Drosophila melanogaster: one gene and its partners. The protein of the gene in region 3 purifies or fractionates together with the protein of the main gene of each other region. This does not show direct contact. Each region holds a gene or a part of one and is shown on either strand. Other genes may lie near its edges.

The links.
Region 1: the proteins of CG18081 (region 3) and CG15522 purify together in Drosophila melanogaster (affinity purification with mass spectrometry, with the first as the bait; one large-scale study listed by BioGRID). This does not show direct contact.
Region 2: the proteins of CG18081 (region 3) and Nepl11 purify together in Drosophila melanogaster (affinity purification with mass spectrometry, with the first as the bait; one large-scale study listed by BioGRID). This does not show direct contact.

The regions. Positions count from the first base shown.
Region 1 is NT_033777.3:29,924,662-29,930,065, reverse strand, and holds CG15522 (uncharacterized protein), read right to left. Parts: upstream 2,812-5,404; 5' UTR 2,549-2,811; exon of another isoform or gene 2,269-2,548; intron 2,197-2,268; 5' UTR 2,072-2,196; coding exon 1,945-2,071; intron 1,886-1,944; coding exon 1,491-1,885; 3' UTR 1,300-1,490; downstream 1-1,299. Other genes in the region: alpha-Man-Ic (alpha-Mannosidase class I c), read left to right, coding at 1-1,263; Jon99Ci (jonah 99Ci), read left to right, coding at 3,892-4,154, 4,212-4,767.
Region 2 is NT_033777.3:4,291,270-4,297,706, forward strand, and holds Nepl11 (Neprilysin-like 11), read right to left. Parts: upstream 3,572-6,437; 5' UTR 3,379-3,571; coding exon 2,484-3,378; intron 2,099-2,483; coding exon 1,215-2,098; 3' UTR 1,005-1,214; downstream 1-1,004. Other genes in the region: cpx (complexin), read left to right, coding at 3,851-4,017, 4,299-4,550.
Region 3 is NT_037436.4:15,832,877-15,838,324, reverse strand, and holds CG18081 (uncharacterized protein), read left to right. Parts: upstream 1-3,048; 5' UTR 3,049-3,131; intron 3,132-3,441; exon of another isoform or gene 3,442-3,445; 5' UTR 3,446-3,447; coding exon 3,448-3,591; intron 3,592-3,873; coding exon 3,874-3,963; 3' UTR 3,964-4,530; downstream 4,531-5,448. Other genes in the region: meru, read left to right, coding at 1-487; CG15715 (uncharacterized protein), read left to right, coding at 1,402-1,545, 2,077-2,166; CG12713 (uncharacterized protein), read right to left, coding at 4,675-4,915, 4,981-5,448.

The DNA of each region.
Region 1 (5,404 bases), on a different chromosome or scaffold from region 3:
GGCGACTTCGCAACCTACAAGCTTGGTGCCACTATCATCGAGAGCTTGGACACTTTGCATTTGATGGGTCTGAACAAAGAGTTGAGGCGTTCTCGGGATTGGATAGAGAAATCCTTCCATTTGGACCGGGTTGATGAAGCGTTGTCCGTTTATGAACTGACATCCAGGCTGCTGTGTCCCATGCTCACTCTATATTCCCTCACCGGGGATTCCCTCTACATGGACAAGGCCATCCATATTGCCGATAAGATCCTGCCTGCCTTCGACACGCCAACTGGTATACCCAGACGACTAGTGGTCCCAAAAGAAGGCAGCACCCTCACGAAGTACCTAAGTGATATCTCTCGCACTTCTGAATTTGGCTCTCTGCACCTGGAGTTCTACTATCTCAGTGAAGTCTCTGGATATCCGGTGTACAGGGAGCGAGTGGATGCTATCCGCGAGATATTAGCTAAAACAACCAGGCCCAATGGCCTTTATCCCAATGCCTATTGCACAAAATTTGGTAAGTGGGAAAATTACAACTGCTCCATGCACCGACTTTATGATACCCTGCTAAAGTCATGGATTCAGTCCGGGAGAACTGATACTCAAAATGCTGATACCTTCAAAGAAGCCATGCTAGCTGTGGCTCAAAATCTGGTTGTCATCAATCCCGAGGACGTGACCTACGTGTCCACGTTCAGGAATGGCACTCTTTTCCATCGTATGAGGCACTCCGATTGCTTTGCCGGCGGGCTTTTTGTCCTGGGAGCAGCAGAAACCCAAATGAAGCACTGGGAAAAGTATGCCCATATTGGCATAGGCCTCACAGATACTTGTCACGACAGCTACTGGAGTTCTCCCACTCGGTTGGGTCCGGATACGTTTGCCTTCACGGAGGAAAGCCAGCAGGAAATAGAGCCGCTCCAGAGGAACTATTACAATTTACGGCCGGAAGTCGCGGAAACTTACTTGGTTCTGTGGCGCATAACCCATCATCCACAGTACCGCTTGTGGGGATTGGAGATGGTGCAGGCGATAGAGAAGTACTGCCGAATGCCCTACGGATATACTGGAGTGATGGACGTTAACAACGTTACTTCGGAACCGGATGACGTGCAGGGGTCCTTCTTCTTGGGCTCCACTCTGAAGTATTTGTATCTGCTCTTCTCCGACGACGACGTGGTTTCGCTGGAGCAGTGGGTCTTCAACAGTGCAGGCCATTTCCTGCCCATTAAGGGCGTGAACCCAATGTATCGTCAGCATAACTCATCGAACTAAACATTAGCCAATTACCAAAATAGTTAGCATCTATTTAAAGTTTAACTTTTAATGCAGACATGTATAAAAAACTTGTGTGATCTAATACTTTCACAATGAATTACAAAACCTAATTTCTAATTAGCTGGGAGCACACACATTGAGCACACCTAAAAGCACATACACACATAAATGTCAAATGTCGAACATTGGCCCGCTAAACCATCGCTGGCATCCGCCCTAGAGCTCTAGAGCTGGCTGTTGGCCAGGTGGTTGTCGATGACCCGCTGGATGATCATCAAGCAGTGGCGCTGCCTGGCCACCGTGTTGTCGATCAGCTGTTCCGTGAACTGACTGGCCGCAATGTTCGTGTTGGGCGGTATATCCTGCGTGCAGGATATGTACCTGTTGAAGATCTCCGTGTTCAGCGACGTGGCCAGATACCGCTCGCTCTCGTCCTGCTGCTGCAGCTTGTCCAGCTCCTGGGCGGCCAGCAACAGCTGATCCTTGGCCTTCTGATATGATTGCAGCTCCTGCAGGCTGGCATACTCGGCGCTGCTCAGTTTCACGGACCTGCCGCCGTCTTTCGTCATCTGGCGAATGTGGTACTTGCGCTCGGCCACAAAATTACCGAGCAAGTATCCTGCGAAACCACGACACACAAGAGTGACTCATTAGGCGCTGTCCTGTGAATGCACTCACCTGTTATCAGCATGAAGAAGCCAATCGTTAGCACCAGGGAGGCACAGGTGCGCTTGGAAACGTACTCGCGGAACTCCCGAGAGCTGTTGGCCCGCACCGCCGTCTCGTAGCTGAGTACCTGGTGCATCCTGATGACCTGGTCCCCTTGGGGATTATAATCTGTGGGGCCTGCTTGGCCTAGTCACGTCGAGACACTCGGATGTGTCCTTCAGAACTGGGTGGGAACATGGTGCTATCGGTGGTATCTAGTGCCTAAAGCATGGAATTTGTAATTAAACATTAGAAACTGTATCTGTGAGTTACAGCTGTAAGTTTCTTAATTACTTCGATATGTTCAAGGATTTAAGAGCGCGGAACTTGGAATGATATAACACCTCTTGGTATGTCATGTCAGGATTTAATGTTCTCCTTTCACATTTTTAGTTTGAGCACTAAAACCGCAGTGTCAATGCCCCGAGTTCCTGTTCTGGCGATGCCGCTGATACGGAGGAGCGTGACTTAATCGCCCCACCTTAAAAGGCAATCGCGAAGCCCGTTGTTATGGGCATCGCACACGGCAAACAGCGCGGTCCTTTAAACGCTTCGTCGAACACTTTTCACTCACTCGCTTTATAGGATATCGTCGGCTTGGCTCGACTCTTGTGCTGCCAGGATGGGGTACATATGCATTAAATTAATTAATGACTGCACTTTTGTGTTGCACTGCCCGAAGGAAGTGGGCTACAAGTGTGGGAATGTCCTTTGCGAAGGGAGCGCGCTCAACTTTTAATTGTATTATTTATGCTTTATTTACTCGTCGCGTTCGCTCGGATCCTTGCGCGTTATCCTTGCGAGCGGTCTGAATGCCCGGACGCCCAGTCGGGAACTGACTCACGCTTCGTTGGGGGTCGGCTTTAATAGCTCTCCGTTCTCCGTTTTCCGTTCCGTGTGGTGAGTTTCCTGCCCCGATATGTTGCACATTTCAGCGTGGCACTACGTCGGCGGAAGGACGGTCAAGGGGAAGCTCGGAGAATGCAAACAAAGGCATTCCCAGTAGCTTCCTAATGAGGAATGGGTCCGCCATTTCGCCCACTCCGCCCGAGGCGTTCCTCAGAAACTATATCGGATTTCAAGCCATCGCCTCACTTTGAGTGATACTGCTGCTCCGTAGTTCCGAAAGTGGACCTCCCTTTTGATTGCCATAATCGTATTTTCTTTTCTGCTTCACTATTCCCTGCAATACTTCAAGGATATCACATGACCCTCGATTGCCATTTCTGTTCCTTGGGGTTCTTTGAAGTCCCCCCCATGACACCTTGCTTGCACATTTTCACTTGTTGTGCTGTGACATATATTACTGGGAATTTATGCATAAACTCAACCATTGCATACAATTTGAATATATATTTTGAGGTACGATTATAAACTTTTGCTTTTCTGAACTTGAAGTACATAATCCCATAACGCACTCTATTACTAAGTTAATCCATTGGGTGGCATAAATTAAAATAATTTATTGCACGATAAGCTTGTACACTTCTATATGTGCATCGATAGTGACTTCATTGGTCTATATAAAAGTGTGAGACCAACAGGAGATTTTAGTATACAAAATGAAGGCTTGCGTACCCATATTGGCAGCCCTTTTTGGATCAGGGAGCAGACTGGCATTTACTATTAACCATGGTTAATAATTCTTTATGATTTAATAAAATTAAATGAATTAAATTGCTTGAACTTGTATCCACTCAGAATTGATTGAAGCACTCAAAACACTCTTATTCCCTTTGCTAACACTTCATTCATACTGCCAAACACTCGTCTTGAGTATCTGCTAGTATAAATCAAACTTTTTCGTTGATAAAAGTGCTGCGAGATAAGATTTCGCACTTTGAATTAGCATCGATAGTGATTATGGCTAAGCTATATAGTATTGGGACCACCATGGGAGCCTTTTAGTCTTTCAATATGAGGGGTCTTACACTCTTGTCGCTCGCCTTCCTTGGGGTCTGTAGTGCCCTAACTGTGCCCCATTCGCTGGTCCATCCACGCGATCTGGAGATTCGTCATGGAGGGATTGAGGGTCGTATTACCAACGGAAACCTGGCGTCCGAGGGTCAGGTTCCCTACATCGTGGGTGTGAGCTTGAACAGCAACGGAAACTGGTGGTGGTGCGGCGGATCCATAATCGGACACACTTGGGTGCTCACTGCTGCCCACTGTACCGCTGGGTGAGTTATTTGATTTCACAAATAATTAACGCTCTTTGATAAATCATCGTATTGCAGTGCTGATGAGGCTTCACTGTACTATGGTGCCGTCAACTACAACGAACCTGCCTTCCGCCACACAGTGAGCAGCGAGAACTTCATCAGATATCCCCACTACGTTGGACTCGATCATGATTTGGCCCTGATCAAGACTCCCCATGTGGACTTCTACAGCCTGGTCAACAAAATAGAGCTTCCCAGCCTGGATGACCGATACAACTCTTACGAAAACAATTGGGTTCAGGCCGCCGGATGGGGTGCCATTTACGATGGCAGCAATGTGGTGGAGGATCTGCGAGTGGTGGATCTGAAAGTGATCTCCGTGGCGGAGTGCCAGGCTTACTACGGAACTGATACCGCCTCCGAGAACACCATCTGTGTGGAAACTCCGGACGGAAAGGCCACCTGCCAGGGTGATTCTGGTGGTCCTCTGGTCACAAAGGAGGGTGATAAGCTTATCGGAATCACTTCCTTCGTCTCCGCTTACGGATGCCAGGTTGGAGGACCGGCTGGCTTCACTAGGGTCACCAAGTACCTGGAATGGATAAAGGAGGAGACTGGAATCTATTATTAAAAAAAAACTTTACTAATTTCAAAGCAAAAAGGTGCTTAAACAAGTTTTAAATAAATGAAGAACATATGCTGTTATATTTTGTGTATTATTAATTTCTTGGAAGATAGTGGCATATTCATGTTTAGAGATAAAATTACCAATAATACATAATCAATACATTACATATTACATAATACATACCATTTAATACATTACCTATGTAATATTAACCTATTAGTGTTTTATTTTTTGATAATCTAAAAATCAACTTGTTGAGAACAAAAACTGTACAATGTGCCGTATGAGTAATATTTTATCACACTTTTTTTTGAAATTGGTAGTAAATACTTTCAATAAACATTATTCAGAATTTAAATTTCTTAAAGATCATAAAATACTTTACTCCTCATTTGGGTAATCTGAGTATATAATATATTTTAGGTGAAGTGAATGTCCTTACATGATACTATCATACTGAAGAGTAAGTTGCAAATAAGGCACATGTCATTCCACTTCAAATTTAGGCCATAATTTACAAAAAAAAAAAATCACCTGTAGTGGACTTATCAGTCGACGATGGCTCGCGATGATAACTTGATTAAAATTTACTGCCCTCCCATTTTACATACGTGTGGAAGGAAGGGCTCTTGGTCGAGAT
Region 2 (6,437 bases), on a different chromosome or scaffold from region 3:
CTGCAAATCAAGTCACAGTCACCACAAAAAGTTTATTCACAAAGCTATTCAGTAAATTGATGACTATAAATTCAATTTAATGTGCGATGCCTTTTGCACCCACCAAGACAGAGATAGACGCGCAGAGAGCAAAGCCGATTGTGGTCATTCGTCATCCCCCGACGACATTACCCATACGCCCTATGGGCCCGAGATGTGCTCAGGAGCAGTGAGCGTCGAAAGCCGGATTCTGCGCCCTCAGAGATAATGCGTCTCTGTCGCCCCACAGGGTTCGTTATCAGAACAGGCAGAGAAAATGCCAGGCTGCTCTTACTAGCAAATCAGCCAGCACCAGCGTACCGCCAGAATCCGAGCCGGACTCAATCCGCTGGAACCTGCGCAGGCGCTGGGTTGCCTCGACTGCGACGCGGCAGAGGCAACCCGTGCCACGCCATGACATAAAAGGCCGGAGCAGGACTAGCAGAACTCCCACTCCGGGTTCGCACTCCTGTAGCTAAAGTTCGCTGTTTTGTGCGCCTGTCCGCCTGTCAAGACCTCTTTCTGCACTCAGTTCGCGGAAACTGGTGGTCGCGTTTGCACTGCACTTCGGGCAACTGCTTCGAATCGATTAAGATGACCACGTCGGCACTGCGACCGAGCCAGTGGGTCGGAGATGGTGCAGCTCCTGACTGACAGCGAGTCCAGTAGTGCCAGAGTCGGCTTAGGCAACGGTTGCATCCACTTGGGACGGAAACGAAGATAGAAGGCCCCACGACGGACAGATAGCATCGGTCCAGAGCGCCCTGAAATCATGAATTTCATTGGTATGAAGCATAAACCGAGTCTAAGTCCAGTCTGCCTTCCAACACTGCCTTTCGGTTCGATTTCCGGCGGCGGACACACTGAATTCGTCTTCTTCCCCTTCTACAACACACTGCCACCACTCAACCAACCTACTAAACTACTACTCAACTCGCCACAACACACTAACGCTGTCACTCTTACCGAACTTCTGTTCCATGTAAGTCTTTCCAAGCGAACAACATTTATTTTTCACGTAACGTAACGTTTCCGTAAGCATATGGTGATCCATGAAACTGTGCAAATTGTGACGGGAAAAATCAATCAATTGGGGGTTGGTCGCTGCCTTAGAAGCCCTCCAGTTGTTGTAGGCACGTCCTATTGATTTTTAACACCACCGGTGGCAACAGCAGCTAAAAGTTCAAGGTCCGACCCTAAAGAGGATTGCAGCGCTGGTCCTGCGGGTAGAGGACATCTCCAGGACGGCACCTAAAGGCCTCCAGGAACTCCGGCGAGTTGCGCAGTGTGGCGTGAGTCACCTGCCGCTTACGGTCCTGCTGCAGGGCGCCCAGCTCGGAGCGGCAGTCGACGAGCAGGCTGGTAACGAAAAAGAGCCTCTGTAGGGACATCTTCGAGCTACCGGCGGCCAGAACCGCGTCGACTCTCTCCACTAGCCCCGCCTGGGTGGCAAGCCACTGACCGTAAGCACTAAGCGCTTGCCTTTGGGCGAGCAGGCTCAGAAGCAGATCGATGGCGTTCGTCTGCTTACCTACGCACTGTTGGAAGATGGCAAAGCGCCTCTCGGAGTCCGAGCTCCGCCAGGCTCCTTGCGTACGAGAGCTGCTACCTGCGGCTACAAGGCTTCGCGAAAAGAACTCCCCCAGTAGGAGGTAGTTGAGCGGCGTGCTCAGATTGTGCTGCCCTAGGAACGCATTTACTGGAGCGAACATTTGGGCGTAGCGACGCACCTGCTGGGCGGAATGGGAGGCCAAACGTCGCGTGCGCTGAAACTTGCGCAGCTTCTCCAGGTTGCGGTAGAGGCTCCGCCGACCCAACAAAATCGAGTGGTATGCCGCGTCCAATCGCTCATCTCCATTCAGCGTAGTGTGCATTATGTTACCCAAAAACTGTCTCGAGCTCTGCCTAGAGATCTCATCGATCCACACACTGCCGCCTAGCTGGTCTGTGTAGGCCTTTCCCAGCTCCGAGTACATTTGGGCCAGTTCGACTCGATTTGCCGTAACACGTTGCACTACGTGGGCGTAAAGGTCCCCGGCGTAGGTTTCCGATAATTGGTGGCAGTCTGCATCTACGATGTCTAATAAAGGGATGAACAAATTAAATATTGAGTTTTTTATGACTTTCAACCTCAATAGTTCAGTCCTATTTTAAAGCTAAGCTAAATAGCTTTAATAGGAAAAGTTTGAACACATTTGAAATGTGCATTTTGTGGTGTCAAAGAACGCATTAAAAGATGCTCTCAAATATTCGTTACGAAAATATTTCAACGGAATGAGTTGAAAAAAAATTAAGTTCTATAGGATGCTTATCAGGAATCTCTGAATTATCGATTGAATAAACATGACCTTTCTTTGTTAACATATTTTAGAAAACTTTTGGGTTAGCAAACAACAGTGGAAAATGACTGTATATTTGAATACGAATAGAATAGTAGTCATTTTGAAAATTCTGGAAAAACTCACCCATCAAGTAGTCCGTCCATATCCAATTAAGAAGTCGAACCATGCTTGTGTTTTGGAGCAGCGCGAAGTACTCAACCAGTCTGGGCAGTTGTTTGACTACAATGGTGTCGCTGGCCTGTGGCGTTTTGCCGCCTAGCAACTTGCGGAAGTAGCCATCCCAGTCCAGTCTGATCAGCGAGGCGTTTCCGAAGACGATGCGCTTAAAGTTTCCATAGGAAAACTGCACTTGATCCTCGACGTGATCCGCCTTTACAATGTCCCGTCTACTGCGCTCCAAGCTGAGCACTTCGAGGGCGGTCACGTGGGCGCGGCTCTGTTCTATCCCGAAGCTTTGCAGGACTTCGCCCACCCGCTGCTCGAATTTTCTTAGAGTGTTTCGGCGCGTGCCGTCGGGTTGCAGTACCACAAGTCGCTTGTTGGACTGCATGGTGACCGACGTCTCGAAGAAATAGGGCGCGCCCACTTCGTGGAAGTACCCAAGAAGTCCCAGCCATCTTTGGGTTTGGTTAGTCCGCTGACTGGCATTGACTTTGTTCGGTTCCAAGCTAGGCCAGCCCCCACTCTGCCTATACAATTGAGATCCCTTGAGCGCCTCTACGCCACGCCCGCTCTCGCAAGACTTGAAGAAGTTTATCAGTTGGAGTTCCATGTCCATCAGCTGCGCCACGTCCGTTTCCTTAAGCAAGCTTTGGAATCGCTGCCTGCCAGTCTCGCTGAGGTTGGCGCTGTGCGAGCAGACATAACCGTAGAAGTCCTGGCAGGGCTGCTTGCTGGTGTCGAGATACGGCTCTAGGTTGTGAGAGAAGCTCAACAATTCGGTTTCCACCCTGAGCAGATCGTCCTGGCCGTAGGCGATGCCAGCTATCCACAGGACGGCCAGTGCTTTTGAAATCATTTCTCCTGGGTGCTGGTGCTGTAGTCGCTCGAATCAAAATGAGCACGACGCCATTTGCCGTTTGCGCCGGAGGTAGTGGGCCTTGTTTTCTTCTTAGAGGTCGGAACAGCAAAAGGTCGCTCTTAATACCTCGGCCCACTTCCGTGCTTCTGCTTCCAGACTGCGGCTTAGACACACTAGATCCCAACTAATCGGTTTCCCATTTGTTTTCCCTGTCAGAGACAGTGGTGCTGGAATAAAAATGTAAATCACTCGGAATGATAACACGCTAGGCGATAACGAGCCAAGCTGAAAGGCGTACGTTAATCATATGTGTCAAGATGTCGGGGTTTGGATTCAATCTAAAATTGGTCACGGCCGATTTTGAGTAAATTAAAAACAAACTTAGTCCAGTTGTCTCAATTTCTACAAAAACTTTTAAGCGCAAAGTTAAATCTCATACTAAACATCTTATACCTCGTCACTTACACAGGCGCTGTAGGAGGTGATGGAGGCGATGATGGCGACGACAAGGAAAAGGCAGAGGAGGAGGAGAGGGAGCGTCAGGAGGCCATCAAGGAGGCCGAGGACCGCCGAAAGGAAAAGCACCGGAAAATGGAGGAGGAGCGCGAGAAGATGAGGCAAGACATTCGCGATAAGGTAAGTGTCCGGGGTTTTTGGGAACTTCGCAATCACAGTGAAAAATCCATGTATGCAATCCATGCCCTGACATGGCGGAACCAGTCCTGGTGGAGCTCAAATTGACTCTAGTAGGGAGTCCTTTAATGAGCGACTCCCTAACGGAGTCAGATTGAGCTGCAAAGGAGCGACACAACAGAGGAGCACTTAAAAATGTGTTAGCTGTTAAGATACCAGACTCCTAGCCAAGCCCAGTGGTCTAATCAACCTATTGATCTATCGACTCCACATTAACCATTCAGTACAACATCAAGAAGAAGGAGGAGATCGTGGAGGCGGCCCCCCAAGAAGAGCCCAATCCCCTGATGCGGAAAAAGAAGACGCCCGAGGAACTCGCCGCCGAAGCGGAGCAGGAAGAGCTCGACGATTTTACAAGTAAGTCTTTGCTGCCACTGTCAAGTGCCGTTGAACCTGGCTCAGCTAGTGGCATCTATATACTGCAATTGCAACCCACTAATTTCTCCGCTCCGATTGCTCCTGCTCCTATTCTATAACTGTATCAGATTTTGAGTTGTCGAAATTTTTTGTTTCTTACTACTTTGCCAGCGGTTTACGCGAGTCCCGCCAGGTCCAGACAATACCTATACAAATTGACTTAAAAACTGAAACCACAACAAAAACCGTTTAATATCCGCTAAATATCCCACGGCGCTCGAAAGTAGTAATTGTGGTTTTGTTTGTGCATCTGTGTGTCTCTCGTATCTTAATGCAATCGAACAACCCAATAAAAGTCTATAAATAACTGCCCACTAACCGAACTATCTATCTCTCTATATATATGTATATTTATGTACTCTTTTCCATGTGCGTAAAACATCTAAGCTACAAACCTAACTCTAATACTAACCCTAACTGCAACCCTATCTGTCTAAGATCTAATCTTCAATCTTGATGCAACGACGAATATAAACATTGTCAATTATATTTTTATATAACAAGAGTGCACACCATTTCACATACTTCATTTTATTCAGGTTTCAAACTTATGTTTCGTAACGCTTAATCATTTGTACGTGAGAATGACCACGAGAAATCTAGGCAGCATTTGAACATACAGTGGATGAATAATTTTTATGTTTTTCTTGAACTGTAATTGCATTTGTTGTTTAATATAAATTGTGGGTAAACAGGCGGATGAATTCTGCTTAGGTTTTGTTATTCAATCAATTAGAAAAAGGTAAGTGCGATTATTGGTAAAAACGTTTGTTTTCCTTATGTGTGGTAATACTGTTGTAATACATTTGTATTCCAAAACTATTCTTCAGCCCCCAACATCACCAACAATTACAACTTTCGACTGCTCTAGCTCTTTTTTCACTGCCGCTTATTCTTTGTAAATGTATCTTTAATATATCCAGCATAAAAATAACTCTACTGGAAAAAATAAGCAATGAAAGTAGCACATAATTCAAACCGAATACAAGATTTAGATTAGACCACATTAGGGGAACAAGTACATATCAACGTTTTTCTTTTCGTATATTGTTTGAACATCATTATCACTCTCTATGCACTTTACAGTACTAATAACGCCTATTTTCTACATATTAATATAATCACTAACAGAAAACTTGTGCTTGTGTGCTAAACCGCATTTTAAAACTGAACACTCATAACTATATAAATGTAACTGAACCAAAACAAATAAAAAATATATATACGATAAATGGACGATAAACAATTACAAAACGTTTTCCCTGTTGTCTACTCTTTCTCTTCAATATGTGTGCTATATGTACTTAACATACTGCATAATACGTATGTAAAATATATATAATGCCCATATACTGCATATGTATGTGTATTTCTTCGCACCGAATTCTATAACCCTATCTTTATTTCTCTATCAATCTATTAAACATCTATATAACTAAAACTAAACTCTTATACTGTGACATACTTAATGCCAACGAACTCTACTGATCAAGACTTTTCTACGTGTAATTGCTTTTTCGTTACCATTTTAATTATTCGTATTCGAACGATACCCTTTTCCGAAGCTTAAATGCTCCTTACATAACAGTTACAGCTACAGTAGACCAATTACTTAACATGAGCATCCATGAATACATATACATACCAGTTAACATGTCAAACATTTGTAGTCTACTCTACAAAATATGCTTATTTATTGCTGTTTCCATACTCAATTTCTTTTACAGAACTGAAAAATCAAATAGAAACGCAAGTAAATGAGCTAAAAACTCAAATAGAGGGAAAATGTGTCATGCAGTGATATGTCAGTCACCATAATAACAGATAAATAAATATGATGATAAAACACGTGTAATACTGATAACATAGCCCATAAACGGAAATTAATTTAACTCAACTTAATATTGAATTTGTTAATATGAGATCAGTTCATTTACATGGGAACC
Region 3 (5,448 bases):
TAATAACTGCATAAGGAGGCGAAAGGATAAGCCCTTGCGAAATAGTGTACGATATAAGTTGGCATCTCTTCATGCCGATATGAATGTTCGCTATGAAAAGGAACACGCTCTAACACGTCAGCTATCGGAAATGTGCCGACTGTACCGATTGCAGAACGAACGGTACAAGGGACCGGAAATGGAGCTATCGGTCGGGCAGTTGCAACAAAATATCGAAGCCTATGCCGAGGACATTATTAAAACTGAACACGAACTTCTCGAATTGAAAAATGAAATTAAACATGATATATCGCTGATTAATAACTTAAAGCGTCTGACGTTGGAGGAATCGGAGGCAGATGCCGCCTGTAAAAAAGGCGCAGCAAAAATAACACATCCCTTACAGGAAAATGAAAATACCCCTCAAGTTGCTAAAAATACGCAGGAAATGCAGTTTGTTGATAATATTTACGAGTTTTGCGATAATAATGCCAGTATGCTGGTGTAATTGCAATTATTTGTAACTTGTTAAGTTTTCTACCAAAATAAATATACATTTTGTATAAGCATTATAAATTAAGACTTTTTAATGGTTGTGTTTTTGAAAGACTTGTTAATGATTAATGATTTCAAATTACTTAATAATACAAGTTTTAAATAATTTTAAAACGGTAGTGTGTTTTTAGGGAACAAACTTATTGAACTATCTACTTTACTATTTCACTATCATAAACGTTCAATAACCATATGAATAATCTTAATCTTAAATTCTTAAAACTCCCAACTGTTAAAATGACAGTTTTTTTCGATTTATGCGTGAGTACCGTTAAGGGGTTTGAGTCAGGGTAAGTGTCAATCAAAGACTCAAACCCACATATGTTTCTGGACAAACATTTTGGATACATTTGAACTCTGGTCCCATTCAATCCTGGCAGAAAACAAAACCCATCAAATTAAAAGTATTTTAAGAAAAGTTGTCAATAATTTCGGGTAGCAAATCACTACTTACTTTACAACGAGTTTTGCTCAAATTCGAAGCTGCATCACCTGCATTTAGGACAGCCAAACAAATTTAATCGTCTTAATTAGGTAAGTTCAATGGTGGCTCGCAGAACGTGGTCGCAATCCACATTTTCAGTAGTGGTGGTGGTGATTTGTTGTTGCAGTACAGTAACGCAACGGATTTGATTAAAACATTATTAATATCTTATCGATAGACGTGCACAGATCCAGCAAAATCCTCTCTGGTGACTGGTAATTCCTGCTATTACTTTTTGAGTGGGTGGGGATAAAAAGTGAAAGCTACTGCGCTTCTGCCGCCTTTGTTGCAAATCCCGTTTGGGCCACAGATGATTAATGACCTTTTTGCAATCCACTCGTACTAACCCTTCTATTTGCATTCGAATTTGCATGCAGCAAGCAATGGCACGTGGACACCAGAAGATCCAGTCGCAGGCGAAGGCCTCCGAGAAGCAGGCCAAACTAAAGAAGCAACAAGGACACAGTGCCAACGACCAGAAGAAGGCGGCCCAAAAGGCACTTGTCTATGTGTGCGCCGTTTGCAAGGTGAGCCAGCTACAGTGAAGCCTCTGTAAAGCGAACAAACTAGAGTTTGAAAGTGCCTATTGCATTTCATCCAGAAGGTTAACTTCTGTATGATGGAGTTATTAGTCAACTCAAATAATAACAAAATGTAGTGCTCCTTAAAACTATCATAATCAGAAACACTTTTACTTGTGATATTGTTTTAACACTAGTTTCCGCTCTTACCCATGTTTTTGAGTGTATAAAAAAAAAGTATTTCAATTTATATGCACTTCCTACTTTATTAACATTAACTGCTTTTACTTGTTGTCGTAAGTAATTCAAATTAATTTAATTGAACATGAATATTTACCAATATCAAATGAATATGTTTGTCCAACGTTATCTTAAATTAAGTGATGACCAAGCACTGCTGATATTTGATTACTTTAAATGATAACATATTGATATACGATCACTGTTTTCAAGTTGCTATATTTGCACCCCTAGTTCCTTTATGTATGTGGATAACAATTTGGGTGAAAACCTAATCGAATCTCGCCTCCATTTCAGTCGCAAATGCCCGATCCCAAGACGTATAAACAGCACTTCGAGAACAAGCATCCCAAGAACGACATACCCGAGGAGCTGAAGGAGGTCTGATGATCGTTTCACTTTAAGCTGAACGAGATGGACGAGTTGCCTACCAGTACGAAACATTTGCAACAATAAATTTGCATCAGCCCTAAGAAGAAAGCCCACAATCAAGCCGAAGCCAAGAGGATGGATAATAGTCGTAATAATAATATACAAATGCCAGTTTTTTCGTATACACACTGCTGAATTTTGGTTTTGTTTTATACATTGAAATTAACACAGTATGCGATTGTTCGATGTGTGGCTAAACCAATACAAAGACACCTACCTACCTTAAAAAATGAATAGAAATTGTTTAATTTTGATATTTATTGCCTAAGCCACAGGAAGATATCTAAAACACCATAAATACTCTGAGCTCCGTTTTGGATTTTTGTTTACACGTGAAAGTTTTATACGAATTATGCCACAAATGAAAGAAAATAAATCTTTTTGTACTATAACTAATTTATGTAATTGACAATTTATAAATAAAAATGTTAAAATTATATAATTTGTTATAATATAATAATTTATTTAAATATTATTTTAGATGTGCTTTTAGTTTAAGATAAAAATAATACTTTTTCGGGGGAGTAGGTAATATTTTTAAATTACGAACATATAACAAATACTTTTTTATTTTATTACGAAAAATAAAAATGTTGAAATGCTTAAAAATTATACAAATAATTAGAAATAGGAAAATTTATTACGAGTACCGTTAAGTGGTTTAAGTCAGGATAGCTGTTAGTCCAAGACGCGAACCCACATATATTTATGCCCAAACATTTTGGATATAGTTCAGCTCTGGTCCCATTTAATCCTGGCAGCGAAACAAAACCCGACAAATTGATACAAATTTACGGTTAATCGTTAATAATTTCGGGTAAAAAATCAAAACAGTTTGTAACAACGAATTTTACGTAACTGCAAAGGCTGCATCACACCTGCATTTAGTACAGCCAACCAAATTTAATCGGGTTAATTAGGTAAGCAGCGGTGGATTCGCAAAAAGGGCGCAGAACGTGGTCGCAATCCACATTTTCACTTGTGGGCGTGCTTTGTTGTTGTTCGAGTACAGTGTCGTGTCAGATTTTCCAAAACATAAATAATTGGTATCTTAACTATAGTATACTGACCGGAAACTGTGCTTTCCGTTTGGTAATCCCAAGAGTCACCTATTCAGCTGTGTGGGAGAAAGTGAAAGTGACTGCGCTTCCGCCACCTTTGTTGCGAATCCCGTGAAGCACATAGACGGTACTACTACATATGCTAACTCATCCATTTCCACTTAAACAGCAAGAAATGGCACGTGGACACCAGAAGATCCAGTCGCAGGCGAAGGCCTCCGAGAAGCAGGCCAAACTAAAGAAGCAACAAGGACACAGTGCCAACGACCAGAAGAAGGCGGCCCAGAAGGCACTTGTCTATGTGTGCGCCGTTTGCAAGGTAAGCCAGCTACAGTGAAACCTCCCTAAGTCAGCAACTGCAGTGGGTTAATCAAATGGTTTTGAGACAGCTCGAAGAATCACGCAAGAACTCGCTTACTTTAACGTCGAGGTTTTAAAACGCAAATACTAAAGAAAATTTATCGCAAAACATTCGACATCTCAGGAGCTTTAAACTAAAGAATTCGATTCAGATGAATGTTATAGTAATGCCTTATTTTATATTTATTACTCGTACTTTGTGGTTTATTTGAAACCTAATCGAATCTCGTCTCCATTTCAGTCGCAAATGCCCGATCCGAAGACTTACAAGCAGCATTTCGAGAACAAGCATCCCAAGAATGACATGCCCGATGAGCTGAAGGAGGTCTGATGACCGATGTGGCTGCGTGCATATATAAATATATCAAGCTGATCGAAATCGACGAATTTCCTACCAGTACGAAACTTTTGAAACAATAACTTTACAACAGCCCCGACAAAACAAACATCAACATTTAAGTCGATGAGAGGAGGGCGCGTAAAGTTAGAACATAGTTTCCAAAGCTAAGGGCCCAGCTGAATTTTTTATATACACACTGCTGACTTTTGGTTTATACTTTGAAAATAACACATATGGCTACCACAACAATACAAAGAAAATTTACACATAGTAAAATAAATACTTTTGTTTTGATTTTTATTTTCCCTGAAAGGCAACTAGCAATTTGAGTAACAATAATTACTTGTGCTTTGTCTTTGATTTGGTCTATTATGAACAACGATGCTGACAATGTCGTAGTTTTGTATACGATTTTTTTACTAAAAAACCTTTGAATACATCATGTAAATGAGAATTTATAAATACAATAAAAACAGTATAATTGTTAAAACTAAAGAGAAAAGTTATTGCTGCAGAAGCATTGTCTAATCTTATGGTTAGTGTATAAATGCAAAGCATTCCTGTCTTTGATGGTTTCAATGCTACTTAACATTTGGCAACATCCCACTTAAAATTTAGGCTTTCTATGTACATTGTTTTAACAAGCACATTTCGTTCTATAGTTAAAAAGTATACATTAACGATTTCCCTGCACTTTCAGTTTCATGAAAGTTTTTTCAGTTCTTTGGTTGGACATTCAGCTACAATAGGTTGACTCCCGGAACTGCTGTCCTCTTTCGTTGTCGGAGTCTCAGCGGAGTATTCTTCATGCGCGAGTTGCATAAAAACCAAATCTTCTTTTGCCGGAAAATCAGCGAGTACTGTAATGCCAATGTTGTTATCCGGCAGCGCAGGCGTTTCCTCGTGGTACCCAAACCAATAGATTATCATTCCAGGACCAAAACTGACAATATATATATATATATATATGTAATTAGAATAGTTATAGAATGAATTCTTTCATATTACCGATTGCAGTAGCTTTGCAGCTGCTGTTGGATGTTCGACTTGTGTCCCTTGGTGTCCCCAAAATTGGCCTTGCTCTCGATCCAGTTGATCACAGAGCCTTTGTAAAGAAATGGCAGGATCATCTTGATGTCCGGCGTCTTGTCATATCCCATGCGTCGCAAATCTTTCTCGTCGTAGAAATGGATACCCGCCTCCTTAGCCAGATTCTTAAGCTTAAGCTCGTACTCCTCGCCAACTATGCGGCGTCGCAGGTCCGTTATGGATCCCTCTTGATTGTCGCTGACTATGCACTGCTGCACATTGGCCGCCAGCTTGGGATCGTCGATAAGATGCGGATGCCTAAGAAGCTGTGAGATGTGCGATCGATGCCGATCCTTGTACTTCTCCTGCAGCAACATCCTGCAGAGAGCCACCGGGTTCAGTGCTTCGGCACAAGCCATTCGGATCAGTAGGGCATTGTCGTAGTAT